Linked DNA regions of Mus musculus. Each later gene encodes a partner of the first gene's protein in a complex. Links are inferred from orthologs where the notes say so. Each region holds a gene or a part of one and is shown in the gene's direction. Other genes may lie near its edges. The genes, in order: Sf3b3, Sf3b4, Zmat2, Prpf38a, Sf3b2, Ik and Sf3a3.

Region 1 (4,016 bases):
TTCCAATCCTATTTGGAAGAACTGTTTGTTATAAATGGGGATTTCTTAAACCTCAAGTCTCCATTCATAAGAGTTACCATGGACAGAAGTAGACAAGAGAGAAAGTAGGAAAAATCTGTGTCCAATCCAGTAGAGTCAAATACAGCTTCTGGGCTGAAGTCTTATTCTTCTGGGACCAGGAACAAAGTGGTTGATCTCAGGGTTCCTCTGGAACTTAAGGGAGCAGGGTCCTATTAGGGTTGATAGGTGGGAAGGGAAGTTATCTCAGGTAGAGGAGTAAAGGGTTTGAGATGGGATAGGAGAATCATTCCATAGGAGGGAGTGGAGGTGACAAGGTTAGGGGGTGGTAAGGAGGAGATCAGGGAGATGCAAGGGTTTGGATGAAGACTGGGCCAGGGGGATATCAAAACTTGTCATCCATGTGTGAGCTCATAAAAGTAAGATGGAAAGGAGGTTGGTTGAAGAGAATACACACAACTCATGGTGACAATGGAAATATGTCGCAGTTAGTGGCCACTGTAGCTTATTGAAGTTGTAGTTACTGAACTGTAGATACTAAAATATAAAGGTGGAATTGGGCATTTCCAACATGTTCAAATGTGCCTTCATCAATTGTATCCCAGGGCTGGAGAGATGGCTAAGCCGTTAAGAACACTGGCTGCTTGCTCTTCTAAAGGACCTAAGTTCAGTTTCCAGCAACCACAAGGTGGCTCACAGCCAATCTGTTATGGGATCTGATTCCATCTTCTGGTGTGTCTGAAGAGAACAAGAGTGCACTACTCAGTTACATAAAATAAATAAATAAGTTGGGCTGTGGTGGCGCATGCCTTGATCCCAGCACTTGGGAAGCAGAGGCAGGTGGATTTCTGAGTTCGAGGTCAACCTGGTCTACAAAGTGAGTTCCAGGACAGCCAGGGATACACAGAGAAACCCTGTCTCGGGGGGAAAAAAAGTAAATAAGTCTTTTTTTAAAAATGCACTCCTAGAATAGAGTCGTGTGAGAATTCTGAGTGCTTGTGGAAAAAACTCTAAGGGTCTGACCTCAGTTTCTTCTTGGAGTTTATTGTGTTCCTTCCAGGTGTAGCAGATAGGAGTGAGCTGAGCAGTCATTGTTAACTCATGTGCTTCTTTGAAACAACATGGTTTTTGCTGTTTGTGTTGTCCTTGGAATTGAATACCTTACTCGTGTGACTCTTCTTAACCTTCAGGGTATAAATTGTCTGATGTTCTGAATAAAGTTGGCTGTCACATGAGAGTTTGTCCTCGTTTTTAGACCCCATTCTCCCAGGTTCACAAAGCCAACTGGAGAGATAAACAGTCGACTATTTTTTGGGGCAGGATCTCTCACTGAAAGTAGTTTGCAAACTAGCAAAACTGACTGCTATCAAACCCCAGAGAACCTCCTGTCTCTTTTTCCTTAGCATAGGGATTACGGGGTACTGCTGTGCCCTGCCTTTTAAGTGGGTTTTAGGGTTCATAATTCAGGTCATCATGGTTCCATACAAATACTTTACCAACTGAACCTTCTCCGTGTCCCCTGAACGTCATGTTATTACATTAACTATGCAATAGTAAGGGTTTGACAATGTCAGTGCAAGGTTCTAGTTCAGTGTGTTTCAGTGGTGAAAACACAATTGCAGGGTATGTGTTGCTGAAGGGGAAATCTGCGTGTATCTCCTTGTCGTGTACGGTGGTCGTTTAATCGTACACAGTTGTTATCGTGTTGCCTTAGGGCATAAGCAGCTTCATTTCATCAGCTGAGCTGAGTGAGCCAACACCTTTAACTCTCTTGCCTATTACCATAGGATTTTGGCTTTAGAGAAGCTTGGTGCTGTCTTCAATCAAGTAGCCTTCCCATTGCAGTACACACCCAGGAAGTTTGTCATCCACCCTGAGAGTAACAACCTTATCATCATTGAGACGGATCACAATGCCTACACTGAGGCCACAAAAGCTCAGAGAAAGCAGCAGATGGCTGAGGTAATTACTCTGACCTCCAGAGGGGCAATTTCAAAACGCCTGCCTGTGAAGTTGTTTAGAAAAGTTTAAATTTAGAAACCACCTCTAATTCTCTTCTCCATGTCACATACACACTGCTTTGGAGATAGGGTCTCAGACCATAACCCTGGCTTGCCAGGAACTCTTAATGATCCTGCTATTCCCAGCTTTCCAAGGGCTGGAATTCTATGTGCACTGTCACATATAGCTGTAGTCTTTGCTTTTTGTTTTTTGAGACATTTTGCTATCCACCATGTAGACAACACTGGCCTTGAATTTACAAGGATTTGCCTGTAGCCCCTGAGGTGCTGGGGATAAAGCTGTACACTACTACACTTGGCTATCTTTTTACTTTTTAAAAAACCAGGGCTTGTGGTGTGTAGCACAGTGGTAGGCTTCGTGTCTAGCATGTGCAGAGCTCTAGGTTAGATTCCTAGGACTGAAAAACAAGGGTAAAGTGGGTTTGACCCTAAAACTATAAACCAGCCCCCCCTTTCTAGGACCTTTAAACAAAGTTTTTTGTCCTGTTTCTATTTCTCCCTTTTACAAGCTTTTTTTGTGACCTGGGACAAATATGCTGACCTTGGTTACTCGGAATTCAGTTCCCTGTGTAGAACTGTTTTCTGGTCCTTGAGCCTCCACAGTAGGGTGTGTTACATGACGCCTGGATTCAAGCCCTGACACACAGCTTTCAGATTTCCCCTCAGCACCAGCTCATCCAAAAATTATTTGCCAGCAAAAACCAACTAGCACCAAGCATGCAGAAACCATAGGAAGCCTGGAGATACTATGTGAATCAACCAGGTTTTCATTTCTGAGTTTTTAGACATGAAAATATTTGTCACGGTTAATGTTCTGTTTGGCTTTTTTTTTTTCTCAGATATAACTACTAGTATTTCTTTTTCCTTTTAATGATCTCTTTATTTTGCGTTTCTCCCTTGAATCTTTTTCCCCCCTTTTAAATTGTGTATCTAAGTGTTTTAGTGCAGACCTGCTGCACCATTTGTTGAAGCTAAATACCTGTCAGGTCACAAGTGCCTCTACCAGTGGGGCTGTTTGAAGGCCCTTCCTTTCGAATCTCTGTTTGAGGGAACCGTGGTGCTAGGCAACAGTCTTCTTTGCTCCTTCACATCTCATCTCATCTGTTCTTGCTTTTTGGGTTTAGGAAATGGTAGAAGCAGCAGGGGAGGATGAGCGGGAGTTGGCTGCAGAAATGGCAGCAGCATTCCTCAATGAAAACCTCCCAGAATCCATTTTTGGAGCTCCCAAGGCTGGCAATGGGCAGTGGGCCTCTGTGATTCGGGTGATGAACCCTATCCAGGGGAATACACTAGACCTTGTCCAGTTGGAGCAAAACGAGGCAGCCTTTAGGTAAGGACCTGAGGGCAGTCGGGAGTTTGGTGGTGTGAGCAGGGTTCTTGGGGTTTTAACTAATGCCTGACTTTGCCTTCTTGGTCTATTTTTAGTGTGGCAGTGTGTAGGTTCTCCAACACTGGTGAAGATTGGTATGTGCTGGTGGGTGTTGCCAAGGACTTGATACTGAGCCCTCGATCTGTGGCAGGGGGCTTTGTGTATACGTACAAGCTTGTGAACAACGGGGAGAAGTTGGAGTTTCTGCACAAGGTGAGAACAAACCTTCAATTCTCTTGGATCTTAGATCTTACTGAATTCTCCCATTTTTGCCCTAAGCTTCTGGGTCAAGTTTTTTATTTGTTGTGTGTGTGTGTGTGTGTGTGTGTGTGTGTGTGTGTGTGTGTGTGTGTGTTTTGAGGCAGAGTCTCACTTTGTAGTCTTGGCTATGTACCTTGCTATATAGATCAGGCTGGCCTTGAGCTCAAAGATGATCTTACCTCTCTGCCTTCGGAATGCTGGGATTACACCACCATGCTGGGCTGGTCTTTTACAGACGAGCTGTTGACTCTGACTCATCTTTGTGTAGCATTTGGAACATACTAGGACCTTCATGCTTCAGTGATGTTCCTGTGCCTGCCACAGGAAGCTGTGTTCTCACCGCTTTC
Region 2 (4,454 bases), on another chromosome or scaffold:
GCGCTTTGCCCCTCCCCAGATGGGCTCCTCAGCTCTCACAGTCTCTGCCCTTCAGGATGAGCTTTCTCACCTTCAGGAACTGTTAAGACAATGGACACCAAGAATATCTCCCGAGGACCAGAGCAAGAAAAGAGATCCGAATACCATCCTCTCTCAGATCTGCTGAAACTGTTTGTTAGCGTCGTTCTCAGAGGCAGGGCAGGGGTCTCTGCTCATCTTCCTGTCTGACCTTGACGCCTCAGCTTTGGCATTCCAGTCTGCAGAGTTCACTTAGAAGGCCCGTTTCTGTAGCAGATGGTGGCGCTACCAACCTAAAGGTCTCCCGATTTGTTTGATTTCTGGGGCTATTTTCATTTCTTGTGATTTGAAAACTAAGAAACAAGACCAGTTCAGAATGTGATTGCCCCTTTTCCCAGGCAATTCTGTACCTTTTGGATGGCCGTCAAAACTGTGACATGAGAGACCCTTTTCATCAGTCCCAACAATGATGTCCTAGAGACCTCATTCGCAACCTCTCTACACTACTTTGAAATCTTTTCTTAGTCTTCTGTGGGAACGAGGTGAATAAGGGAGAAACCGTCTCCTCCCACTGTATATTTTCATAGCAGCGTTTCTATTTAAGGAGTTCATTAAAGCACAGTATTTCTACACATTGCTGGTATTTTCTTGTGTTGAATGAAGATCTCAGCAAAGCCGTGGGGGTGGAGGGGAGGGTGTGAACTGAGAAAAACACCCAAATTATTGTAAGGAAATAAAGGATCCAAGTCAGGCGTGGCCTGGAAGAAATACACATAAAATATGGGGGAAGGGGTCCGCACACCTTTTTTGAGACATGGTCTCTATGTGTCTATTAGGCCAGCTGGAACTCTGTTTTTTGAGACAGGTTTTCTGTGTGGCCATGGCTGTCCTGGAACTCGTTCTGTAGACCTGGCTGGCCTTTAACTCAAGAGATCCATGTCTGCTCCTTAAAGCTTCGATACCAGCCCGCAACCCAACCCGGTTTCGTGTCCCAGATTTCCCAAGATAAGCGGAGATTTGACACTTAGGGGAAAACAAAATACCTCAGGCTCAAGTCTAGGCCGAGGGCGAGTCTGCACGAGCGTCGTGGACCTCACTAAATAATAGGTCGCTCCAGAAGGCAGTCCTGGCCCTGCACTTAGGACACAACTCTGCGTCACAGAACGTACAAAGCCTGGTTTTGCACTTGAATGTGCGTTTGGGGAGCCGTGTGAGCCTCTAACAGTCTGGAAGCATCCGGGGCTTTAGTTAACTGTGTCGAGACGGGCTGAGCACATCCGTTCCGCCCCGACTACAGCAGCAGCCCTAGAGCGCCTTTCCCTTCCGAAAGACAAGACTCCGACCCCTAAGATGGCCGCGATCGCTTCCGGCTCCTCCCCCCCCCCCCGGCGCCGGCCCCGCCCAACGTGAGCCTTGGCCCGGAAGTGGAAGTTGTAACTGAGGTCAGGGGGCGGTGCTGCTGCTTAGAGACGGCGGGAGCCCCTTCGCCATGGCTGCCGGACCGATCTCCGAACGGAATCAGGGTAATTGGGAGAGAAGAGCCCAAGATAGGAGCAGGGAAGTGGAGGGAAGATTAGTGCCGGAAGCGTTCCCCCTGGGGTGGTAGACGAGATCCCCCCCGGTGGGACACCGACCTCTGGGCACCTGGCTGGCCGCGAGGCCGGGTGCAGGCCGAGGCCTGTGAGAAGCGATGCTTCTAGATCAGCTCCCTCCACCAAGAAGACAAAAGCCTCCCGGGAGTACCGGACCAGCAAGAATGCCAAATTAGACGTAGCAGATTTTCTAGATGATGGTGGCAGAGGGAATTTCAGGGCTTTAGGCGACGGTTTTTGGTTTTTGTCTTCTTTTTCACTGCCGACTCCTCATCGCCTGCTTCTTCCCTTTAGATGCCACGGTGTACGTGGGCGGTCTGGACGAGAAAGTGAGTGAGCCGCTGCTGTGGGAGCTCTTTCTCCAGGCAGGGCCAGTGGTCAACACCCACATGCCCAAGGACAGAGTCACTGGCCAGCACCAGGGTGAGTAGGGTACGGGGCAGGAATCAGCCCTGGAGAGGGTTAACCGGCCCCGAAGAGGCTCAGCCGCTAGGCACAGCGCCTTTGGAATGAGCAACCTAAAGATTGCTTTCTCCTTCAGCTTCAATTCCCAGTTTCTGGAATATTTTCTCTTAGCTCTAGTTTCTGGAACCATTCTCAACCATTCTCTGTGTAGTCCTGGCTGTCCTAGATCTTGCTCTGTAGACCAGGCTGGTCACGATCTTTGAGCTCCACCTGCCTCTGCTACGAAGTGGTGGCATTAAAAGCACGTGCACGTGCAGTCGCCCAGCTATTATCTATTATGTTCTTTGTGTTTGAAGGCTGGGGAGTTAATGTTTCATTTTGAGTCTCTTCCCCTGAATGATGGGTTTTTTTTGTTTGTTTGTTTTTTGTTTTGTTTTGTTTTTTTCATTGATTCCCCAGGCTATGGCTTTGTTGAATTCCTGAGCGAGGAAGATGCCGACTATGCCATTAAGATTATGAACATGATCAAACTCTATGGAAAGCCAATACGGGTGAACAAGGCCTCAGCTCACAACAAAAACCTGGATGTGGGAGCCAACATTTTCATTGGAAATCTGGACCCAGAAATTGATGAAAAGCTGCTTTACGATACTTTCAGCGCCTTTGGAGTCATCCTACAGACCCCCAAGATCATGCGGGACCCTGACACAGGCAACTCCAAGGGTTACGCCTTCATTAATTTTGCCTCCTTCGATGCTTCGGATGCAGCAATTGAGGCCATGAACGGGCAGTACCTGTGTAACCGTCCTATCACTGTGTCTTATGCCTTCAAGAAGGACTCTAAGGGTGAACGCCATGGCTCAGCAGCTGAAAGACTCCTGGCAGCCCAGAACCCGCTGTCCCAGGCTGACCGCCCTCACCAGCTGTTTGCCGATGCACCCCCTCCGCCCTCTGCCCCCAATCCCGTGGTTTCATCCCTGGGTTCTGGGCTTCCTCCACCAGGTACAGCTTGGAGTTCAGACTGTGCCAGTGAGGCTCTTGGGAGGGAGGCTCAGGAGGCAGAAGCAGCCCTGGTAGAGTAAGCTGCTAAGTTGTTGGGCAGTGAGACAGGAGTGAGGCGTGCTGGTGGAAGGGATGAAGTTGGCGGATGAAGTTGGCAGATGGAGTGAAGCTGAAGGGAAGCCTGCAGGGGGGAGGCTGGAGCTCTGCAAGACATTAACTGTCTTCCATTTCTTACACAGGCATGCCGCCTCCTGGCTCTTTTCCACCTCCAGTGCCACCTCCTGGGGCCCTCCCTCCTGGGATTCCCCCAGCCATGCCCCCACCACCTATGCCACCTGGGGCTGGAGGACATGGCCCCCCAGCAGCAGGGACTCCAGGGGCTGGACATCCCGGTCACGGACACTCACATCCTCACCCGTTCCCACCAGGTGGGATGCCCCATCCAGGTAAGGGCTCTGTGCTGGGAAGGAGCTGAGCTTGTGAGAGGGGCTTTCTTACTGTCTGTCCTGGTAGTCTTGGATGAAAATAGTCCAGAGTCCTCCTTTTCTTCAGAAACAGACAGTACTTTGTACGTGTTGGTGCTCCTGTTTTATCTCCAGTTCTTGTATTTCCTAAAGGATAGCTTGTACTGGGCAAAACTCTCAACCTCTCCTCTGCTTCCAAGGTTGCCAAATCTAGAAGACATTTCTGCTTTTGGCTTTTTGAGAAACGGGTTCTCTGTGTAGCTGGCAGTGTCAAACTCAGAGATCCTCTTGCCTCTGCCTCCCAAGTGCTGGGACTAAAGGCGTGCGTGTTTCTAGATTTCTCTAATGTCAACCATAGCAACCTGGATCGGCTCCTTTTTTTATGTTTGTGTAGATTTTTTGCTTGTTTCTCTTTTCTTTGTTTCTCTGTAGTGTTAAATGTGAAGGTGCTAATTTACCATTGGTCTCTGGTCTTAGGTTCTTGGCAGGCTAGAAAAGGCCACTGCTCAACCCACACTTAACTTTCCTCTTTCTGACACCATCTTCAGTAGTTCTCACTTGTAGGAGCCCAGTTTACAACTCTGGGGCTTTGTCTGTTCTGTCCTCCACTTTGCAGAGCAAGTCTAGCTTATGTTTTTGTCATTGGTCACAAGCCAGTGCTCAGACTGCACTCACTTCCTGTCACTGACTCAGGGACTCATCTACTTTCACTGAGTAACTTTTCCAGGGTATTCACAGACATTTTCTTCTTCTTTTGTTTTTTTTTTGTTTTTTTGTTTTTTGAGACAGGGTTTCTCTGTGTAGCCCTGGCTGTCCTGGAATTCTCTTTTGACCTTGAACTCAGAAATCCACCTGCCTCTGCCTCCCGAGTGCTGGGATTAACGCGTGCGCTACCACGCCCAGCTCAGACATTTCCTTAAAATTCTTCTGTTGCCTTTACTTACAGAAGAAAACCTGGTCTCACTGCTGGCGC
Region 3 (3,754 bases), on another chromosome or scaffold:
GCTCCACTCTGGATCAGGTAAAGAAGCGTTTTGAGGTGAACAAGAAGAAGATGGAAGAGAAGCAGAAAGATTATGATTTTGAGGAAAGGATGAAGGAGCTCAGAGAAGAGGTGAGGCTCTGCTAACCCTGCTCCCCAGCTTGGAGTGTTTTCCTTGTGGACCGAGGGTGGCCCTCTTCCTCCGCTCACTCTCCTAGCTCCAGTTTTGTTCCTGGGTTTCTTTGTACTAGGGCATCTTTGTTCGAGATCCATGAGAAACAGCTCAAAGCCTATCCAGTTTTCTTTGGCTTTTTAGATTAGATCTCTTGGGGTGGGGAGGGGGGGCAATTATTCATTCATTGATTTTTTTTTTTTTTTTTTTTTTTTGAGACAGGGTTTTTCTGTGTAGCCCTGGCTGTCCTGGAACTCACTTTGTAGACCAGGCTGGTCTCGAACTCAGAAATCTGCCTGCCTCTGCCTCCCGAGTGCTGGGATTAAAGGCATGTGCCACCACGCCTGGCGATTTTGTTGTTTTTTTTTTAAAGACAGGTTTGTTTTAGACTAATTATGGGTTCATATCCAAGAGAAGAAAGTTCAAAGCCTCCCATTGCCATCCTGTTCCCATGCTTGCACACATAGCTTTCCCTAAACTTTTTTAAACTATAAGAGGGATTAACTAAATACAACTATTTCCTAGTTGGCCTATGTATCTGAGTTACAGGGTCAGAATTATTCTCTTCCATTTATTTGTATGGATTTTGGGCAAGTTAAATAACCTTAGTGAGCCTCATTCCCTGTGCTGAAGATCTTAGAGCTTAATATTTACACAAAACTGAGAACAGATCTTAGCATATGCTTCATGTCCCAGGATGTTGTCTGGTTAGAACTAGAGATGAGTGCCGGGAGGTGGTGGCACACACCTTTAATCTCAGTACTTGGGAGGCAAAGACAAGCGGATTTCTGAGTTCGAGGCCGGACTGGTCTACAAAGTGAGCTTCAGGACAGCCAGGACTATACAGAGAAACCATGACTCGGGAAAAAAAAAACAAACAAAAACAAAAAAACAAAACAAAACAAAAAGAACTAGAGATGAACTAGGGTGTATGATTAAAAACTCCAGAGACTTAGTAAATCTCTTTTTATCTCTTAAATCTTGTCTTACAGTCTTCCTTCACTGCCATTTAGAGTCTGTCTCAAGCCCTCATGCATGCTGGGCAGTGCTTTATCACTGACCTCTCAGTCTTTACTGTGGATTTTAGTCATGCTGAAAGACGGAAAAGAATCCTGAAGCTTACATTTCTCTTTCAGCAGCAGCAGCTCTGGAGCCAACTGATTCTGAGTGATTTTTTTCTTCCTTATCCTTCAGGAGGAAAAGGCTAAAGCATACAAAAAAGAGAAACAGAAGGAGAAGAAAAGGAGAGCCGAGGAGGACTTGACTTTTGAGGAGGATGATGAAATGGCAGCTGTGATGGGTTTCTCTGGCTTTGGTTCCACCAAGAAGAGTTACTGAAGCGTTCTCTTTGGCCTAACTTTGGCCTATACTGGACCTAATGAGTGTGTGTTGAGGTGGGGTGGGGGCGTCATTTCTTTTTTGGGTACTGGAGAAGGTTCTTAAGAGTGTTAATGGGCAGGGCTCGAGGGTGGGTGTTTGTGGTTTCCCTCTACGTTGGGGGAGGTACTGTGGTTTATTCCTTCAGCCTCAGTACATTACTGGAGTCACAGAACCTCTGCCCATCTGTGTTCCCAATAAAGAAGGACCTCCCTCTTTGAGACTGCTTTCCCCATATCCCCCTGCATCTTTCCCTCTTCATCTATCAAACCTGTTGTCTGAACATCCTCCCTTTTCCTGTGTCCTGCTATTGTTTTAATTTTTACTCTTGTTCAGCTTGCAACAGAAGGGTTCTGAGTCTCCAGTCTGCGGGTACTGGTATACCCTTGACCCAGCTCTTCCTCCCATTCCACCCCGCGGTTCTCTACCCACTTGTGCATGCATGTGATTTCTGCCTGGGTCAATGTGTGTGTGGGTATGTGTGCATGATATGTCACAAAGAGGGGACCTGAGCTAGAATCTCAGAGCATTGATGCCCTGAGACCTAATGTTCTTGGTTTCCTCAGTGCATGTAACAGGATATTAAATGGGATGAGTGTCTGGTGAGTTTTTAACCTCGTTTCTTCTGTTTCACTTCACTGAGGATCTCTGTTTTGTCTTCCTCGGGAACAGGTTCTTGGAAGAACCTGTTTTATGCAAAAAAGCAACAAAACAGCCCTAAAACCAAACAAAAGCTCTCACTCTGGGAGACCCCGGTTCTCAGACACTGTTCAACATGTGCAGTAAATGACAGTGACAAGGCCTGTTTCACATTGTTTGGTGACAAGTCTGTATCATTCCCTGCCCCACATGTTCTTACATCAAGAATATCTTCCTCTTCCCACCCCCTTACATACAGGTTTCCTTAGTGCGAGTTTTCCCCTCTGCTAATAGGATCTGTGCCCTTGGGAGTCCAAACAAAACATTTTAGTCCCCTGTAATTTTAGTACCCTCTGATCTTCCTAGAAGAGCTCAGGGTTAAACTTGCCTGTCTGCAGTTGGGCGGGCACTGGGTTATTCAGGCTTGGCACTGTTGATGATGAGCTAGGTAAGTTTTGGAATTGGGGTTTTTGTGACAGGGTCCCACTTGACTGGTCTTGAACTCAGATATCTGCCTGCCTCAGCTTCTCCAGTGCTGAGATTAAATGTGTGTGCCTCCATTTCAGGACAGGTCTTTTTTTTTTTTTTTTTTTTTTTTTTTTAAGGGGCTCTATAGTATGTTGAGCAGCGTCGTCACCTAGTAGATGTCAGCAGTAGCAGTCCCATCCAGTTTGTGACAGCTACAAATATCTTTGTCCCCTGGGAGTAGGTAAATGGCTCTCCCATTGAAAATGACTAAAACTCTTATCCACTGTAGTGTAACTTGTGAACTCTATGACAGAGATTAGTTAAAAACAAATCCCTCCCAAACATTGAGAGCTAGATCACGTACTGTGCCTTGTCTAAGGAATTCAAGGGCGAGATGGGGATGAGGGCACAGGTGACAGTTATACAAGTCTTGTAAACAGATGAAGCTCCCTTTGCTGGCTCTACACTCTCAATAAAGGGGTCCACTCACAAGACTGCCACAGTGACTTTTCTTTGATCCATGTAGTTCCTCACCTGTGTAGCATCTGAAGCACTGGACCCCGCAAAGTGTGCACTCCATCCATTACTGATTAAGTCAGCTTTTCGCTTAATGAGTTCTCTTGGGATTTGGCCACTGGGATTGTTGCATAAATACTCCATATGTTGGCTCAACTCCTGGCTTGGGAATTTAAATACAGTGTTGAGCATGGTGGTGCACAGCTGTAACCCCAGCACTTGGGAAGCAGAAGCAGGATGGCTGTAAGATCACAGCCAGTCTGGTCTGTATAATAAGACCTTCTATCAAACCTCACAGTTGCAGGCCAATTGCAATTCTTGAATGCTTTCCTTGGCAGGATTAGTTACAAATCCTAGAGAGATTACCCTTGTGGAGTGGATCATTTTATATTTTCAAGGCAGGTAGGGCAAGGTCTCAGTGAAGGGAGATTCTAACAATATTCACACCTTGGGAAGTCACCCATTCACCTCAGTAATGGCTAATTAGTGTTTTCTCTAGTGCGGTGAGATCATCTGCCATTTCCATTATAATCGTGTGTTCCAGGTTCTGTAAACTCTGGGGGAGTGGTAAATGGAATGACCTGGCTAGGTTCTATGGGGGTTA
Region 4 (4,016 bases), on another chromosome or scaffold:
ATCTAGTCATTTTTCTCTTCCAGAGTTTGTGCTGATGCATGTAGATGAGTTCATTTATGAACTCCTGCACAGTGAGAGAGTCTGTGATATCATTTTGCCCCGGCTACAGGTATGAGACAAAGGTCACCTTTTACTTCTCACATAAACACAAATACCTACTGAAACACTGAAGCTTTAAGAGTTGTCTTAATAAGTCCTTATACCAAAATTTACAAAGGGTAGGGAATGAGATAAAAGCAGGTAATGTTTCATGGGTAGGCTTTGAAAATGAATAGAGGAAAGGATGTCTTATCCCAAATATACCTGGAGTATTGTTTTTTCAAATTGGTAAGCTAGGCTAAGAAACAGAAGAAAGATCACTCAGAATGAGAAAGAAAACACTCAATCCTTTAAACGTCTTGTGTCTTGTTTATCATCTTCCTTCACACCCAAAGTGATAACTATTCATGAAGCAACAAAAAAAAGGAGAACCTTTAGGCCTGAGAAAATGGCTTAGTGGGTAAAACACTTGCTGTACAAGCCTGACACTCTGAGTTCATATCCTTAGAACCCACACAGAAGGAAGACGGAGGATAATGCCAAAAGCTTACAGATCAGCTAACCTAGCATCCACATGTACACTCTGGCATATGTGCTTCACAGATAAAATTGTAAAATATTGAAAGAACTAAACAACCTTACCGAAAGTTTATTGTGCCAGGCATAATAATTGTGGTGCTGGACTTTAGTCCCAGCACTTGGAAACCTGCTCTAGCTCTAGGACAACTAAGCCTTCATGGTGAGACCATCTCAAAAAACAAATAAGCCTCACCACCAAAGAACCCTACAAACAACAACAAAAACAAAACAAACAAAAACCGCCCAGTGTTAGCGAAATGGTTCAGTGGTTAAGAGTGCTTGATCTGTAAACATAAGGACCTGAGTTCAAGTCCCCAAGCACCCATGTAAAAAGCATGGCTGCTAAGTACCTATAACCCAAGCTTGGCAGGCAGAAACAGACAGATGTTTAGAACTTGCTGGCCAGATAGTATAGCCAAAATGGCAAGCTTCCTGCTCAGGTAAAGACTTGTCTCTCACTGAACTAAACTGGGAAGCAACAGAAGACACTGTGGCCCTATTCTGGCATGGGTAAGCTGGCATGTGTATTTGCAGACTCATGTATTTGTGTCACACACACAAATGAGCAAATTTGCCTTTATAAAATTAAAACATTTACTTTTCATGTTATTTTAATTAATCATTATTAATGCTGGGGGTGTGTGAATGTGCCAGGGCATATAGGGGCCAGAGGACAATCAATTTTCACCTTCTACCAGAGAATGCCAGAAGAGGGCATTGGATCCTTTGGAACTAGTGAGCCACCATGTGGGTACTCGAGCTGAACTCAGGTCCTTTCCAAGTGCAGCAAGTTCTCTTAATAGCTGAATCATCTCTTCAGCCCTGAAGGTAACATTTTTGATGACACACAAATTGATTGACAATGTATTGACCTTACAGTATAAGACCACAGGAAATAGAAACAATTGAAAATGAACTTGTTCCCTTCAGCAATCTGTTTATGTTTGTAGGGGACCTTTAAAAAGCATATGGAGGGGCTGGAGAGATGACTCGACGGTTAAGAGCACCTACTGCTCTTTGGATGGTTCTGAGTTCAAATCCCAGCAACCACATGGTGGCTCACAACCATCTATAATGAGATCAGACACCCTCTTCTGGAATGTCTGAAGACAGCTATGATGTACTTACATATAGTAAATAAATAAATCTTTTTTTTTTTTAGAATTACTCTTTTTTTTTTTTTTAGGTATTTTCCTCATTTACATTTCCAATGCTATCCCAAAAGTCCCCCCATACCCTCCCCCCCACTCCCCTACCCACCCACTCCCACTTTTTGGCCCTGGCGTTCCCCTGTACTGGGGCATATAAAGTTTGCAAGTCCAATGGGCCTCTCTTCCCAGTGATGGCTGACTAGGCCATCTTTTGATACATATGCATCTAGAGTAAAGAGCTCCGGGGTACTGGTTAGTTCATAATGTTGTTCCACCTATAGGGTTGCAGACCCCTTTAACTCCTTGGGTACTTTCTCTAGCTCCTCTATTGGGGGCCCTGTGATCCATCCAATAGCTGACTGTGAGCATCCACTTCTGTGTTTGGCAGGCCCCAGCATAGTCTCACAAGAGACAGCTATATCTGGGTCCTTTCAGCAAAATCTTGTTAGTGTATGCAATGGTGTCAGCGTTTGGAGGCTGATTATGGGATGGATCCCTGGATCTGGCAGTCTCTAGATGGTCCATCCTTTTGTCACAGCTCCAAACTTTGTCTCTGTAACTCCTTCCATGGGTGTTTTGTTCCCAATTCTAAGAAGGGGCAAAGTGTCCACACTTTGGTCTTTGTTCTTGAGTTTCATGCGTTTAGCAAATTGTATCTTATATCTTGGGTATCCTAAGTTTCTGGGTTAATATCCACTTATCAGTGAGTACATATTGTGTGAATAAATCTTTTTTAAAAGGGGAGGCATATGGATTCCACTGTATATTAATATCATACCAGAGCTGTGGTTCCAAGGCTTTTCTGTCAACCCCAGAAACTCTGTTAGGATCAGGCTATGGAAGAAATGGCAATGACTGTTGACGTTGTGGTCCCTGTAGAAACGGTATGTGCTGGAAGAAGCTGAGCAACTGGAGCCTCGAGTTAGTGCCCTAGAAGAGGACATGGATGATGTGGAGTCTAGTGAGGAAGAGGAGGAGGAAGATGAGAAGGTAAGGCATGTATGAAAGTGGTAAGGCTGGGAAGGAAGGAAGGAATAGCCCTTATTTTGTAAGCTTTAGTTTGTAAATTAATGATAACCTTTCCTTTTTACATTCTTTGTGGATTAATTACTTTTGGGTTCCTTTTGGACAGGGAGAGCTCTAGTGTGTGGATAAGACTAGCAAGACATTTCAGTTCTGCCTCAGGAATAGTAGGATCACAGGCCTGTGCCTAAAAAATAAGAATGCTGTATTCTTACTAAAATTAGGAGCTTTGGTGTCAAATACCCCTTTGGCTTGAATACCTCTTCTCTGTCATAGTAGTGGTATAGTCTTAATTGTCCTGATTTTTCTCCCTTTGAGTTAGGGATTGATTGCATCCACAGTGTCACTTATGCTGAATGCATATTCTATCCCTGAGGTACACTCAGTCTCTACTGCTGCGTTAGATTGCTTGTCTTCTGTAAAGCAAGGAGGAGTACAGTACTTTTCTCTGAAGACTGTTTTGTGTTCATGAAGGTATATTCCCACATAATTGGTAAATGAATGGTAGCTATCAAAAAACTTGGACAAAACATGCTTGAACATACTCTTAAGGGGAGAAGTTACCTGCTACATAGTCATATTTTGTCAGAATTAATAATTATAGTGCTGAAAAGTGGAAAACAACCCACCTCAGCAGTCAGGATGTAAGGAGTCAGGTCGATTGTTGAAATGATTTTTAAGCAGCCATTAAAATGATGGAAATGTGGGAGTGCTTCTAGTAACTGCTCTAAAGCATTTGCAATTACATTCTAAGAAACACTGCAAGAACCAGAAGGACATATAAGAAATGCTTGGCGTGGTGACACATGCCTTTAATTTGAACCCTCTAGAGAGACAGAAACAGCTCTGTGAGTTTGAGACCAGCTAGAGTTGCACAGTGAGACCTTATCTCTAAAACTAAAAAATTAACCTCAAATTGGGTTTTATATTGATAAAACAGTAATCTAATTATTTTTCCTCAACATGGAATTTTCTGTTCCTGTCCCTTGCGGTATTATTTTTTTATCCTCATTTTCCTCCACTTATGTGTTTGACATTTTTACTACAATTCCAAGTTGTATATGCTGTATATAGATAATACTCTAGGTATTGTTACACTTTTGCTTCTCTTTCCCTTCTTGGTTTGGTGCTTTTTTGTTTTATTTTTGTTGTTGTTGTCTGTCTTCAAGATGGGTTATATACCTTTGGCTGTCCTGGAATTATATAGACCAGAATGGTCTCAAA
Region 5 (4,513 bases), on another chromosome or scaffold:
ATTACTCCTCCCTTGAGGACAGCTGGTGAAACGGAGGTGGCTAGGAAAAGATCTGAAGCGCGTGGGTGGGAAATGAGACCATTTGTGTTCCTCTCCTTTATTCATCACACACAAACCAAACAGGCTGTCATTGAGAGCGGCAGAACTAGGAGAGGGAAGGAGATAAAATAAATTGGTGGATGTTGGGCAGGCAAGGGTCATGGTGTCTTGCCCCAAGAAAGGTCCTGAGGTTTTTTTGTTTTTCCTACAAGAATATAAAGTCCCCAGGTTAGATACCCCCACCTCCCAACTCATTTATTAGCTGCCTCCTGGATGCTAAATACTTCAAGATAGAAGAAGATCAAGTTCCAGATCCTGTTTGGGGGAATGGAGGTGGGAATAAAGGACAGGAAAGACTTAAAAATGAAACAAAGACAATGGATTAGCTGGCAGCAGTAAGCCCAGTTTTCAAGAAGCAGAGGCAGGAGGATTGCCAAGAGCTAGAGGTTGGCTTGGGCTCGATTTTGTCCCAAGACAGTCTGAACTACATGACTCTTGATCTTCCACTCCATGAAATCGGGTGTGATAGTATATATCTGTAGCCTGCAAAGGATCAGAAGTTCTAGGGTAGCCTGGGCCACATATGGACACATTTGTCTTAAACAACAAAAACCTTGGGGCTTGAGAATTGGTGTTAAGAGCACTGTTGCTTTTGCAGAGGACCTGGGTTCGATTCACAAAAGTGTAACTCCAGTTCCAGATCTGACACTTCTGGCTTCTACAGATACCAGGCATGCAAGCGGTACATATACATATAATAAAACACCTGAAAGGTGGAAAATGTATTAATGAACATTCCTCGAAAGGGGGAAGGAAGCATTTGACAGAGAATACATTTATTTAAGACTTTTTCGAAGGTGCAAAAGGGGATTTTATTTTAGCAGTGCCCTTCCCCCAGGTCAGCAGCTGGAACTCAGCTTGGCGGTCCGTTCCTCCACCGGCTCCGATCCCCTTTCAGCCCATTCAAGCACGCCTGGGCGGGAGTGAGCAGACAAACACTGTTTTATCAGAGCCATCGGCACCAACCTCCCATTCGGGCGCCGGAAAGGAATCTCTATGAGCTCCTAGGAGAAATAAGCACCCAGGTCTCTCATCATTGAAGGGTGTCGGGACAGAAGACTTAGTATGTGTTTGGCCAGGAGAGAAGAAGAATGCATCTGCTCTGGGTAGAGTAAGCTCTTGCAGCCAGGCAGCGGATGTATTACTACTGCTGCATACCGGATGTCATAGCGAGCGTTCGTCCTCTAGATGGCGCATCCGCAAACTACAACTCCCAGAAGGCTCTGCAACCTCCGTTGGCGGCGATTCCTATTCCCCGGTAAGGGAAAGGGCGTGTGTTTGGACCAAGTTCTCTCCAATCACCGCGGGACGTGGATTACGCAACCGGAAGTTTCTGGAAGTAGGCCCGGCGGCTGACCCGAGCTTCCGTGTTGGTCTCGCGCCTTCTTGTGGCTAAGATGGCGGCGGAGCATCCCGAACCTCCCAAAGGAGAGTTGCAGTTGCCACCGCCTCCACCTCCAGGCCACTATGGAGCCTGGGCTGCGCAGGAGCTTCAGGCCAGATTGGCAGAGATAGGAGCGCCGATCCAGGGTGAGGCGCAGAGGCGGTCGAGAGGGGCCCTGCGTGGGCTTGTGGCGAAGTGGAGCTTGGTTACCCAGGAGACCCACGGGGCGGGGGGCGGAGACAGGCCTGTGGGACCTGACCTCGCCAAATTGGCCTGCTCGAGGTGATGCTGACCCCCTGATTCTGTGCTTCGTCCTATAGGGAGTCGCGAGGAGTTAGTAGAGCGGCTGCAGACCTACACCCGTCAGGTGAGTGTTGTCAGTGCAGGCTAGGTCTCACTTTTCCTGGAGGCCTTTAAGACTACTCACGGATGGATCTTCGTTTCTCTTCTCTTCTCTTCTCTTCTCTTCTCTTCTCTTCTCTTCTTTCTTTTTTCTTTTTCTTTTCTTTTTTTTTTTTTTTTTGGTTTTTTTTTTTTTTTTTGAGACAGGGTTTCTCTGTATAGCCCTGGCTGTCCTGGACTCACTCTGTAGACCAGGCTGGCCTGGAACTCAGAAATTCGCCTGCCTCTCCCAAATGCTGGGATTAAAGGCGTGCGCCACCACTCCGCGGCTGGATCTTCGTTTCATATACTTTTTTTGTTTGTTCTTTCGCGATAGGGTTTCTCAGTGTAGCCCTGGCTGGCCTCAAACTTAAGAGATCCTAATGCGTTTGCCTTCCGAGTGCTCCAGCACACCGGGCTAGGTCTTTTTTGTGTACTTCAACGCAGCAAGCCGGCTCTTGACCATTTTGTCAGTTCTTGGTTTTGCTTTATTGTAATTACTTCTACTCCTGTTGCTTTTCTCAGGTTCCAGCCCCAGTCTCTGTCAAGTGGGCACTGGGTACATTTTGTTAAGTAAATAAATGGAAGAGGAGGTTATGTAATGGAATACGTCCTTGTAGTCTGACCTAGAGCTCTCTTTTTTCTTGTAGACGGGCATTGTCCTGAATCGACCAGTTTTGAGAGGAGAAGATGGGGACAAAGCGGCTCCTCCTCCTATGTCAGCACAGGTAAGAGATTGCTTCGAGGATCTTTTCTGCTCAGGATAGCCATGTGTTGAGCTAGCAGATGGGACCGTAAGTTAAGGGTGAGGTCTAAGGAGACAAAATTGTGACCTCTTCACTTCTGATTTAGTGCTGCTACTGTTTTAATCCCCAATGTCTACTCCTCCAAATTTGACTTATCACTCAAGATTCCACTAGAATATCTGGAAATGTTCCTTGATCCTTTCTCAGCTGGAAGTGGTCATGCTTTCTCCTGCCAGGTATAGCTCCCAAAGTTATTGAAACGGTAAAGGATAATGCCCTGACTTGAATAATATACTCCCTGCATCTAGTACAACGTAGATATCCTATGCCTTGGAATGTTGGTTATTACTTTTTTTTTAACTTATTTTTATGTATATAAGTGTTTTGTCTGAATTTGTATTTTGTCCAAGTTTCTACCTGTGCGTCACGTGCATGCAGTGTTTTAGGAGGCCATTGAAGGGCGTTGGGTCATTCTGGGGCTGGAGTTACAGAACTGTGAGCTTCCATCGGGGTGCTGGGAATTGAGCCCTGATATTATAGAAGAGCAGCTCTTAACTGCTTGGCCATCTATCCAGCCCTAGTTCCTATTTCTTTAAGTCCTTTCTGATTCTAGTATTTGTTTCTCTTCCTCTAAAGTTGTGGCTTTGACCTGGAGTTTATTGGTGTGTTTGTGTATGTGTGTTTTGTGAAGTTCCTGTATGGATTTTAGAGGTGTCCTTGTACCTCCTTAAATTGAATGCAAAATGTAATATGAATGTTCCTCATATTTTTTCAGAGAAGCTAATAGCTTTGATCAGTGTGCTAAAGTTAGCATCTTTTGATTCTTTTATGGTGTATTTTCTTGAATCCTACGTCATTAGACTTCAAATTCTAGTATCTGGCTCTTTTGCTAGGTCTCTAGCAAATGCTTATAAATTGAATAAATGCTTTCTAATTCATAGCTGTATTTTTTTCCCCATAGCTGTCTGGGATTCCTATGCCACCACCACCTATGGGACTTCCCCCTCTACAGCCTCCTCCACCACCTCCACCACCTCCACCAGGCCTTGGCCTTGGCTTTCCTATGGCTCACCCACCAAATCTGGGGCCCCCACCACCTCTTCGAGTGGGTGAGCCTGTGGCGCTGTCAGAAGAAGAACGGCTGAAGCTGGCACAGCAGCAGGCAGCTTTGCTGATGCAGCAAGAGGAGCGTGCCAAGCAGGTAGGACAGGTGGAAACCTGTACCTGGGACACATTAGGTCCCTGACGGGGAAATGGAGCCTGAGAAAGCTAGACCCTGAGGCCAAGCCTTTTAGGAAGGTCTTGGTTGAAGACTAGAACGTAGGTATAGTTAGACTCCCAGGAAGCCAGTATTTTGGCAGATTGGCCTGGGCCCTATTGCTGCTAGTGTGAGATTCACTGAAGCAACATGAACTCTTGGGGTACTGGAAGACGGTGATGTTTTTCTCTCTGACTTGACATCTTGCTCTATCCAGAGGATGCCATTTAACATTATTTAATGTCCAAACCAAGATGCTTCATTCAAATTTGCCTTGGAGGCTACCTGATAACCAAATAGGTTCTAGTGCTTCCATCTTTTCTGTAGTCCAGGAGTTAGCACACTATGTGTGCCCTGCTTGTGGATGGCCTATAAACTAAAAATGATTTTTTTTTCAAACTTTGGAGGGTTGTCATTAAAAAAGAAAGAAAACCAAACATTTTAAACCAAGTATATTGTAGAATTCCTATGATAGTAACACATGTAATTTTACTCTTTATCCATTATAGAAAATACTTTGCTGCTAGTTTTTTTTTTTTGTTTGTTTTGTTTTGTTTTGTTTTGTTTTAAAGATGTGTTCATTTATTTTATGTGAAGAAGAGGGCATCAGATCCCATTAAGGATAGCCATGAGCCACCATGTGGT
Region 6 (4,504 bases), on another chromosome or scaffold:
GACTCTCCCCACCCACAAAGTCCTTTGTCAGGGTTGAAATGATTAAAATGGTACCATTTAGTTAAAGTATTACCTATTTACTGTTAGTCAGCATATTAACAAAATTTCAGATTTTGGGTATAACTAGGACTAGTGTAATTTAGGAGGCAATGTTATAACTGGTCAGGGAATGCCTCAGTTTGGTACTGATGATCAAACCCAGTGCCTCTCACAAGAAAGGCAATTACCATTTTCTTTGTATCTTTGGAATTTTGAGATAACGTTTCACTAAATTTCCTACTCAGGCATTGAGCACACTATAGCCTCGGACAGGCCTTGAGTTTGTGGTTCGCCTGCTTCTGCTTAAGAGTATCTAAAGCTGGGATTTACAGGCTGGCTCAGGAATGCCTCTTTGAGACAGTAATAGGCAGTTAGGGGCAAGTAACAACCTGAATGATGGGAGCCAACCATAGTATGCTATAAGGAAGGGGCACAAAGTGCAAAAGCTCAATCCTATTCTATTTGAGCTGCGTAACTTTAGGCGCTTTCCATAGTGTTTAGACTCAGCTTTTTAATATTTACAAAAGAAAAGCACCCATTCACAACATCAATAGAGACTAATGAGAATGAGTTAAAGTACCCAGCGTAAGCTGTAAGCATAAAGTGCTCAACGCTGCTAAAATTCTCAGTCCCTGAATTTGTACTGGCTAAGAATTGATTCTGAATGGCCTACGCTGACATGGAGAAGCAAGTCTTTTACATAAAGTACACTCTGAACTGCAAAAATTTCCTGAATCTAGCCTAAGACCCAGTTAGACCATATATATATATATATATATATATATATATATATATATATATGTTGCCATGAATAAAAAGCATCACACAACTAAGTAAATGTGAATTCCTTTATCAGTACGAGTTTTGGTCCTTCAGCCCCGTTTCCCCAGGACGTTGGGAGGCCCCTTCATCTCTCCATCCCGTATTCTGCAACCCGGGCCCCTGACCTCCGGCGACCAGTACTCACCATAGCGGGCCCAAAGCTTGGGCTGCACCTCCGAGCATTCGCGGATCAGAATGGGCAGGTTGGGGTGCGCCTTCTTCAGCTCCACGTACCGTTGCACGATGAAATCCCTGCGGGGGGGGGGGGGGAAGAGAGAGACTGCCGCTAGCGGGCAAAGGTACACAGCCCCCGCCCCTGCCCGGAGGTCAAGGTCATAGCTCCAGCTTCCGAAGCTCACTCGCCTTCCCACGCTTCCGCCTCACCTCACACCCTGGCTGCCTGGGGAACGCTGGCATAAGTGAACGCGAATCTCACGCAACCCCAGCTTTGCGCCGACCGCTCGGCTAGCAGCGGCAGCCGCCATCTTTGTTAGCAAAGGAGCGCCCAATCACGACCTTTCACCCTCAATCGGACCAATAGCGGGCCCTCCAGTCTTCGCCGTCGATTGGATGACGCAGGGAAAGGGGCGGGATAAATCTTAGCCAATGACAGGAGGCATCGTGTGGTGACGCGAAGGAAGACAGGTTTTCGTGGTGCATTGTGGATAAAAGTTTGTCGCCGCTGTCTTGTTAGGGGGACATTTCGCGATTGCGGACGTTGAGAGGCCGCTGCCAAAATGCCAGAACGAGATAGTAAGGCTCGAGTCGACCACTCTTTCCTGCCCGCGGGACTAGAGACGCTAGGCTCGTCGAGTTTGCTGAATTTAAGCAAGGTGTCGTGTGACTGATGGAGCCGCGCGAACCATTGGTCCTTAGGAGAGGCCCAGCTGAGCTGCCCTCAAGTTTCATTTCTTTTGTGGAGGACCGGCGTTTTGAATTTTTTGAGGCAGCTCTACCTCCCTATCCCTTCCTTAGTAAACCATGGCTTGTGCCTCTCTTTTAGGGACGTGGTTTATTTATTTGACGCGGGAGGGGAGGGGCTCGCTAACGCTCTGAGGCAAACCTCAAAGTCCCATATAGTTGCGTAGTGCGTAGTGCTTTAGAAGCGATCTTTTGGGGTTGGGGCCGGAGGGGGAGGAAGGTTGTTGATTCCTCGTTTAAGGAAACCCGGTTTTATAACTTTTTATTTATTTTTTACGAGTGAGCTAGGATCTAGAACGCAGGGGTCTTTCTGTCTCCACTAGTCAAGTGCTGGGTTGACAGGTGCCTGCCGCCACAAACAGCTCTTTTGCTCGTTTCCTTTTGAGATAATCTGAATGTGTAGCACAAACTGGCCTCGAAATCTCGACGGCCTTGCTGCTTCAATCTCCCTGGTGCTGGGATTATAGGTTTGGGTCACCATTCCCAGTTTCTGGTAATAGAGTTTCTTGTAGTCCTCCCAGTTCAGCATTACTGCATAATCACTGCTCCTCTTCTTGCCTACTATGTTGCTCATTTTTATAATCGCTAGTTCTTGTACGGAACTTCACACATTAAACGAGTGATTGATTTAATGTCATTTTTTCCCCCTTTAAGGTGAGCCCTTCTCTAACCCTTTGGCTCCAGATGGCCACGATGTGGATGATCCTCATTCCTTCCACCAGTGAGTGTTTTGTCTTTGGAGGAATGGGTTTAGCAATGAGCAAGAGAGATAGTAGAGAGGGCGAAAGAATTCAGAGTATTTTGTTGGCAAAAATGCTCCAGCAGTTCATAGAAGATGGTTTATTGAAAGGAAAATGCTAACCTCTACAACATGCTAAACTTATTTTTTCCACAGAGAGCTATGTCATGAGTTCATTTACCTTAACAAGATGGTGTAATTATACTTAAATTCTTAAGTTATATAAAATGATTGTTTTGGTGTCAGTTTTTCAGTAAGGTTGTAATTATGGACAAAAAAAAAAAAAAGAAAAGAAAAGAAAAGGAAAAAATTTGGAGCATTAATCTTTATTTCTGTGACTTTTCAGTGAATTATTACAAGAAAAGTTATGGCCAGGAAGAGTCTAGTGTTTGTGTTGCTTTATTACATATTTAGGAATTTTCCCTGGTAAAAATTAAACATTGGAAATGAGAGTGAAATTATCTTTTGTAACTTCACAATTTCAATCCCATTTATATTTATTATTACTTTGAGTGTGTGGGTAGGTGCACATCTGGAGATGAGAGGATAACCTTGGGGTTAGGGCTCCATCTTCCACCTTGCTATGAGATAGGGTTTCTTTTGTTCGCTGCTGGCAGCCAGGTTGGTAGGCCTGCAGCTTCTGATGATTCTCCTGTTTCTGCTTCCCATCTCCTGAGAAGGGTGGTGCTCGGATTACAGACACTTGTACTGCTGTGCCCAGCTCTTCCCTCAGATCTGGAGACCTGAACTTGGACTGTTAGGCTTGTACAACAAGCACTTTTCCCACTTAGCTCTCTCCCCAGCCCTCTCTTTTGGAGATAGAGGCCACTTTGTCATCCTCCTCCCTCGAGTCTCCCAAGTGCGGAGGTTGCAGGCTCATACAGAACTACTATACCTTGTTTCTTTTAAAATTGTTATTTATTTCTTTGAGAAAGGATTTAATCTGATCATCCTCCTGTCTCAGCCTCTCAAGTGCTGGGATTATATGCATGTACTCCTACACTCCAACCTAAGAATCGCTCTCTCTTTCTCTCTGTCTCTCCGCCCCCCATCCCCGCCCTCTGGTAATGCTGTGAGGATTGAGTCTAGGGCCTTATAGCCTTACCCTTTAAGGTATAGTCCAGGCTTGCTTCAGATTAGCGATCCTCCTGCCTCATTGTTTTTATCTTTTGTCACTATATGTGCCACAGTGACCAAGTCTCATTCTTGACTAAACCTTCCCCTTTGTTGTGTGCCTTGTTTTAGAAAAGGATTAAGCCCCACCCCCACCTCCCCAATCACAGCATTCCTAAAACTATATGAGAGTAGCGTGCTCCAAAGTTTCACTCACATTTGATTCAGTGAAACTTCTGAGTGGGAGGTGGTGGCACATACTTTTAATCCCAGTATCTGGGAGGCAGAGGCAGGCGGATCTCTGAGATTGAGGACAGCTTAATCTTTATAGTTAAGTTCTAGGATGGCCAGGACTATGCAGAGAAACCCTGTCTTAAAAAACAAAACAAAACAAAACAAAACAAAAGCAAGAACTTTCAGCAGTTAACAGTAATGTGTTGAAATTGGCATTTCTGTTGTTTCAGTAAAGTTAATCCATGTATTTTACAGGCTTCTTTCCTATTGGCTACTAATTTTAATTTTTTTGCAATTTCTTACAGATCAAAACTTACCAATGAAGACTTCAGGAAACTTCTTATGACCCCAAGAGCTGCACCTACTTCTGCGCCACCTTCTAAGTCACGTCACCATGAGTAAGTCTTCTTTTATTCATGTCTGTCCATTTCTGTGGAACCGGAGTTTGGTGGACTCTCAAAAGCCAGAGCTCTTTTAAAGCCTCTGCTTCCGATTTTTTTTCTATAAAGACTGAAGTTTCAGTGATGACTGGGATGCTCTGGGTTCTTATTATTCCTTCATGAGTATTAGTAATAGAGTCATTGCTTGTACAAATGGACAGATTTCTGGGCCTGTTATTATTACTGTATAGTCTAC
Region 7 (4,016 bases), on another chromosome or scaffold:
AAGGATCTCTGTGAGACCTGTTTCAAAAGAAAAGAAAAAAGTTCCTGATGAGGAAATGTCCCCAAGTTCAGCTTCTAACCTTGAAGCTCTGCAGGAAGGTACCTTGTCCTCTTCTGCACCTCCATATATGGCTCAGAGATGCCCAATAAGTGGTTATGTAGATTAACACAGCCATCTTTCTTTTTTTTTTAGATTTATTTATTTATTTATTATATGTAAGTGCACTGTAGCTGTCTTCAGACACTCCAGAAGAGGGAGTCAGATCTCGTTACAGATGGTTGTGAGCCACCATGTGGTTGCTTGGATTTGAACTCTGGACCTTCGGAAAAGCAGTCGGGTGCTCTTACCCACTGAGCCATCTCACCAGCCCCACAGCCATCTTTCAAGACCTTATTTTAGAATGGCAAAAATTATTCCCACTGCCCCACCGTGTGTTGCGGCGCCAGCACAAGCCACGCTTCACCACCAAGAGGCCCAACACCTTCTTCTAGACATAGAGACCCACTGAATAAAAACTTGAGACTGTCAAAAAAAAAAAAAAAAGAATGGCAAAAATCTTTAGGCAGGATCCTGGCCCACCCTGAATATCCAGCCCAGGTTTTACTAGGGCTAATGTTTGTTAACTTGATCTTGTAGAGTTGGTTTCATGTTGGGCAATCTTGTACTCCCTTCAGTAGAATCAGCCTCCGGGATTGTAAGGCAGGCAGGAAAGCCCTAATGTGAGCCAAGCCTCGATACTTGGTCAGAAAACGCTCGATTTGGACCTTGATTTAAAAACAAAAGTGTGTGTGCGGTGGCCTTCAAATATGGGGGTCACGGAATAACTTGAGGGAGTTAGTCCTCTCCTTCCACAGTGTGGGTCTCTGAAATAGAACTCAGATCTTTTTGCTTGGCGGCAAGCACCTTCATCCCCTGAGCCATCTCTGCAGCCTTGTGTGATGTTTTGAAGGTGAGCTGACTTAGCACCTGATTCTGTCATTTGTTTCCTCTTTTCAGAAGCTGGATTACATCACATACCTGTCCATCTTTGACCAGTTGTTTGACATTCCTAAAGAAAGAAAGAATGCAGAGTACAAAAGGTAGGCACTTACAGGTTCCAGGCCGTTTCCAGATTTAGGTAGGATTTCATGGAAAGGGTTGGGTCAGAGTTGTGGCTTTTGTTGTCTGAATACTGGACATGAATGACTTTTGGGTTTATCAGAAGGTAAGGATACTGAGTGTTATGTTTTAGAAATATTTGTGATGCTGTCATGGTGGTGCAAGCCTTTAACCTTAGCATTCCCAAGAGGAAAAGGGCAGGTGGGTCACTGAATTCAGCTGGTCTGCATAGTGAGTTCCAAGCCAGTCAGGGATGCGCAGTGAGAGCCTGCTCAAAAGATAAACGTGTGGGACGTTCTGGTTATGGACAGAGCTATTATGGAAACATCTGTGGTCTTAACACACACCTTCCTTAATTTTGTGTGATTTAGAAAGAAGTCTGTTTGGGGACCTCTGAGGTCTTGTAGTTTAATGGGGAAAGTGTCCAAGCTAAGTGATGTGCTTGGATCAGGTATTAAGCAGAAAGTACTGTAGACTTGGCCACACTTCTCATTAATGTTCCCCAAGCCATAGGCCTTCAGTTCTAAGCCTGCAAGTACAAATGAGCAGGCACACACACGAGACACACACACACACTTTCTGTCTGTCTGTCTGTCTGTCTGCCTGCCTGCCTCTCTCTCTCTCATATGCTATGAGTTTTACTTTATCAACTATTATTAGAAATTAAGTATGGTTTGCAGGGCATAGCAGGATGTCACAGGTAGAATTGCTTCCTTGCTATAATGGCTTCCTTGTTGCATGGTTCTCTGCAGATACCTGGAGATGCTGCTGGAGTACCTACAGGATTACACAGATAGAGTGAAGCCCCTTCAGGATCAGAACGAGCTCTTTGGGAAGATTCAGACCGACTTTGAGAAGAAGTGGGATAATGGCACCTTTCCTGGATGGCCGGTGAGCTCCAGTGGGGTTCATGCCAAGGAAGCGAACTAATTATTTTATTCTTGAGTCTCTGCTTCAAGACGTTGGATGTCAGTCCCTCAGTATCAGCTCCATCCTGAGGCCGGCATTCTTTGTACACTTGGAACAAGATTTGTCAGGACCCACTAGACATTGTCTGGGCCCTGGGTTTTTAACAAACATACCCAGATTGCTCTGTGACTCCTGACCAAAATCTGATCAGTTTGTATGATTAGAATCTATGTTTGTTTTTAAGAATTGTTTGTTTATTTTATTTATGTGAGTACACTGTAGCTGTCTTCAGACATACCAGAAGAGGACATCAGATCCCATTTCATAAGGTTGAGAGCTACCATGTGGTTGCTGGGATTTGAACTCAGGACTTCTGGAAGAGCAGTCAGTGCTCCTAACCACTGACCCATCTCTTCAGCCCAAATTTGTGTATTTTTACTTCTTTTGATAAACTTGAGCTTTCAGGAAGAAAACTAGCTGTCTGATACTTTTTTTTTCTTCACTTCTGTATGAATTGATCATTATTTGTAAATGTGTTTAAAGAAAGGGACCAGATAGTCCTGGGAAGTTAGATAGCTCCATTACCTTCAGTCTTCTCATTAGCCTGGATCGTAATAAACTTCCTCTACCTGCCAGAAAGAGACAAGCAGCGCCCTGACTCACGCGGGAGCCCATCTTGATCTCTCCGCATTCTCCTCCTGGGAGGTATGTTCTATGACACTACATGACACTGCTCTTACTTGGCTGGCTGTCTTTCTGACAGTGGTGGTGGCAATAAATGTATTGTGTAGGAGTAGGTATATGTCTCTGAGCGTGCATGTGTCTCTGCGTGTGCCACAGCATGCATGTATCACAGCGTGCATGTGTCTCTGCGTGTGCCACAGCATGCATGTATCACAGCGTGCATGTGTCTCTGCGTGTGCCACAGCGTGCATGTATCACAGCGTGCATGTGTCTCTGCGTGTGCCACAGCGTGCATGTATCACAGCGTGCATGTGTCTCTGCGTGTGCCACAGCGTGCATGTATCACAGCGTGCATGTGTCTCTGCGTGTGCCACAGCGTGCATGTGTAGATGATGAGTTGTGGGAGCTGATTCTCTCCTCTACCACTGAGTCTTGGGGCTCAAACTCCGGTCACCCCTTCCTTGACTGTGGGCATTTTTTTTCCTTGTTGAGATATCTCACTAGCCCTGGCCATCCTTCAGAGGGACTGCTTGCTCTCCTGTATTCAGTGTCTTAGACTTGTCACAATACCACTTCTGAGGGCAGGCATGTACAAGGGATATGAAAAGATCAGAAGGGAAAAACCTTTTAACATCTCGGAAAACTAGATTTCAGAGACCTGTGAGATGATGTCATAGAAAGTCAGAGGGGAGCTGAGGCAGGAACATTGCTGTGAATTTGAGGCTGGCTTTAGAGTAAGATCTGTCTCCAAACACAAAGTCAGTAATTCCAAAACGAGGAGCTAGAGACAAGAGTTCAGTTGGTGGAGGGTTTGTCCAGCGTGTGTGAGGTTCTGGGTTCAGTTCCCATCTCTGCAAAAAATACTGCTATGAATGGTCTTCCTACAGAGAGCCACTAAACACTGCCTTCCCAGTACGACTGAGCCTAGACGTGGCAGTAGTCAGTCTTTGGGAACTGAAAGCTAGGGTTGACTGTAGAATGTAGTCTTACCTGGGGAGAAAGCTGATCATGTTGTGTTGTAACTGATTTCTCTTTTCTAGGAGTTGGCATCCCTGGGTCTGGATAGGTTGAAATCTGCACTATTGGCATTGGGCCTGAAGTGTGGCGGGTAAGAACCTGGTTTTGCTATCAAAAATCCTAGTGACTGTATGTTTGGATGATCATCTAAGTGGCTCTGATTTTGTTGTTTGATTGCCCCAAACTGTCAAAATCATTTTGTGCAGTGCATGCTGGTGAATGCCTTTAACCCCAGCACTGAGAGAACAGGCAAGTCTGTGAGTCAGAGACCAGCCTGGTCTACAATAGTGAGTGTCTTTTAAAAAGAA

Evidence for each region.
Region 2: Sf3b3 (region 1) and Sf3b4 share a complex: the UniProt entries of both Homo sapiens proteins name them as parts of the SF3B subcomplex of the 17S U2 SnRNP complex. The link is inferred for Mus musculus from reciprocal best matches to the Homo sapiens genes SF3B3 and SF3B4.
Region 3: Sf3b3 (region 1) and Zmat2 share a complex: the UniProt entries of both Homo sapiens proteins name them as parts of the spliceosome B complex. The link is inferred for Mus musculus from reciprocal best matches to the Homo sapiens genes SF3B3 and ZMAT2.
Region 4: Sf3b3 (region 1) and Prpf38a share a complex: the UniProt entries of both Homo sapiens proteins name them as parts of the spliceosome B complex. The link is inferred for Mus musculus from reciprocal best matches to the Homo sapiens genes SF3B3 and PRPF38A.
Region 5: Sf3b3 (region 1) and Sf3b2 share a complex: the UniProt entries of both Homo sapiens proteins name them as parts of the SF3B subcomplex of the 17S U2 SnRNP complex. The link is inferred for Mus musculus from reciprocal best matches to the Homo sapiens genes SF3B3 and SF3B2.
Region 6: Sf3b3 (region 1) and Ik share a complex: the UniProt entries of both Homo sapiens proteins name them as parts of the spliceosome B complex. The link is inferred for Mus musculus from reciprocal best matches to the Homo sapiens genes SF3B3 and IK.
Region 7: Sf3b3 (region 1) and Sf3a3 share a complex: the UniProt entries of both Homo sapiens proteins name them as parts of the 17S U2 SnRNP complex. The link is inferred for Mus musculus from reciprocal best matches to the Homo sapiens genes SF3B3 and SF3A3.

Annotation. Positions count from the first base shown.
Region 1 is NC_000074.6:110,815,508-110,819,523, reverse strand, and holds part of Sf3b3 (splicing factor 3B subunit 3), read left to right. Parts: intron 1-1,805; coding exon 1,806-1,980; intron 1,981-3,163; coding exon 3,164-3,369; intron 3,370-3,464; coding exon 3,465-3,621; intron 3,622-4,016. UniProt on the Homo sapiens protein: Component of the 17S U2 SnRNP complex of the spliceosome, a large ribonucleoprotein complex that removes introns from transcribed pre-mRNAs.
Region 2 is NC_000069.6:96,171,067-96,175,520, forward strand, and holds the start of Sf3b4 (splicing factor 3B subunit 4), read left to right. Parts: upstream 1-1,439; 5' UTR 1,440-1,507; coding exon 1,508-1,541; intron 1,542-1,904; coding exon 1,905-2,033; intron 2,034-2,474; coding exon 2,475-3,017; intron 3,018-3,256; coding exon 3,257-3,463; intron 3,464-4,454. Other genes in the region: Mtmr11 (myotubularin-related protein 11), read left to right, coding at 20-166. UniProt on the Homo sapiens protein: Component of the 17S U2 SnRNP complex of the spliceosome, a large ribonucleoprotein complex that removes introns from transcribed pre-mRNAs.
Region 3 is NC_000084.6:36,796,535-36,800,288, forward strand, and holds the end of Zmat2 (zinc finger matrin-type protein 2), read left to right. Parts: coding exon 1-110; intron 111-1,344; coding exon 1,345-1,488; 3' UTR 1,489-3,126; downstream 3,127-3,754. UniProt on the Homo sapiens protein: Involved in pre-mRNA splicing as a component of the spliceosome.
Region 4 is NC_000070.6:108,568,899-108,572,914, reverse strand, and holds part of Prpf38a (pre-mRNA-splicing factor 38A), read left to right. Parts: intron 1-23; coding exon 24-109; intron 110-2,648; coding exon 2,649-2,759; intron 2,760-4,016. UniProt on the Homo sapiens protein: Involved in pre-mRNA splicing as a component of the spliceosome.
Region 5 is NC_000085.6:5,292,378-5,296,890, reverse strand, and holds the start of Sf3b2 (splicing factor 3B subunit 2), read left to right. Parts: upstream 1-1,435; 5' UTR 1,436-1,496; coding exon 1,497-1,629; intron 1,630-1,803; coding exon 1,804-1,850; intron 1,851-2,514; coding exon 2,515-2,592; intron 2,593-3,571; coding exon 3,572-3,811; intron 3,812-4,513. UniProt on the Homo sapiens protein: Component of the 17S U2 SnRNP complex of the spliceosome, a large ribonucleoprotein complex that removes introns from transcribed pre-mRNAs.
Region 6 is NC_000084.6:36,743,175-36,747,678, forward strand, and holds the start of Ik (protein Red), read left to right. Parts: upstream 1-1,481; 5' UTR 1,482-1,598; coding exon 1,599-1,614; intron 1,615-2,436; coding exon 2,437-2,503; intron 2,504-4,173; coding exon 4,174-4,266; intron 4,267-4,504. Other genes in the region: Ndufa2 (NADH dehydrogenase [ubiquinone] 1 alpha subcomplex subunit 2), read right to left, coding at 1,007-1,113, 1,246-1,346. UniProt on the Homo sapiens protein: Involved in pre-mRNA splicing as a component of the spliceosome. Auxiliary spliceosomal protein that regulates selection of alternative splice sites in a small set of target pre-mRNA species. Required for normal mitotic cell cycle progression.
Region 7 is NC_000070.6:124,721,028-124,725,043, forward strand, and holds part of Sf3a3 (splicing factor 3A subunit 3), read left to right. Parts: intron 1-996; coding exon 997-1,079; intron 1,080-1,850; coding exon 1,851-1,989; intron 1,990-2,643; coding exon 2,644-2,712; intron 2,713-3,731; coding exon 3,732-3,799; intron 3,800-4,016. UniProt on the Homo sapiens protein: Component of the 17S U2 SnRNP complex of the spliceosome, a large ribonucleoprotein complex that removes introns from transcribed pre-mRNAs.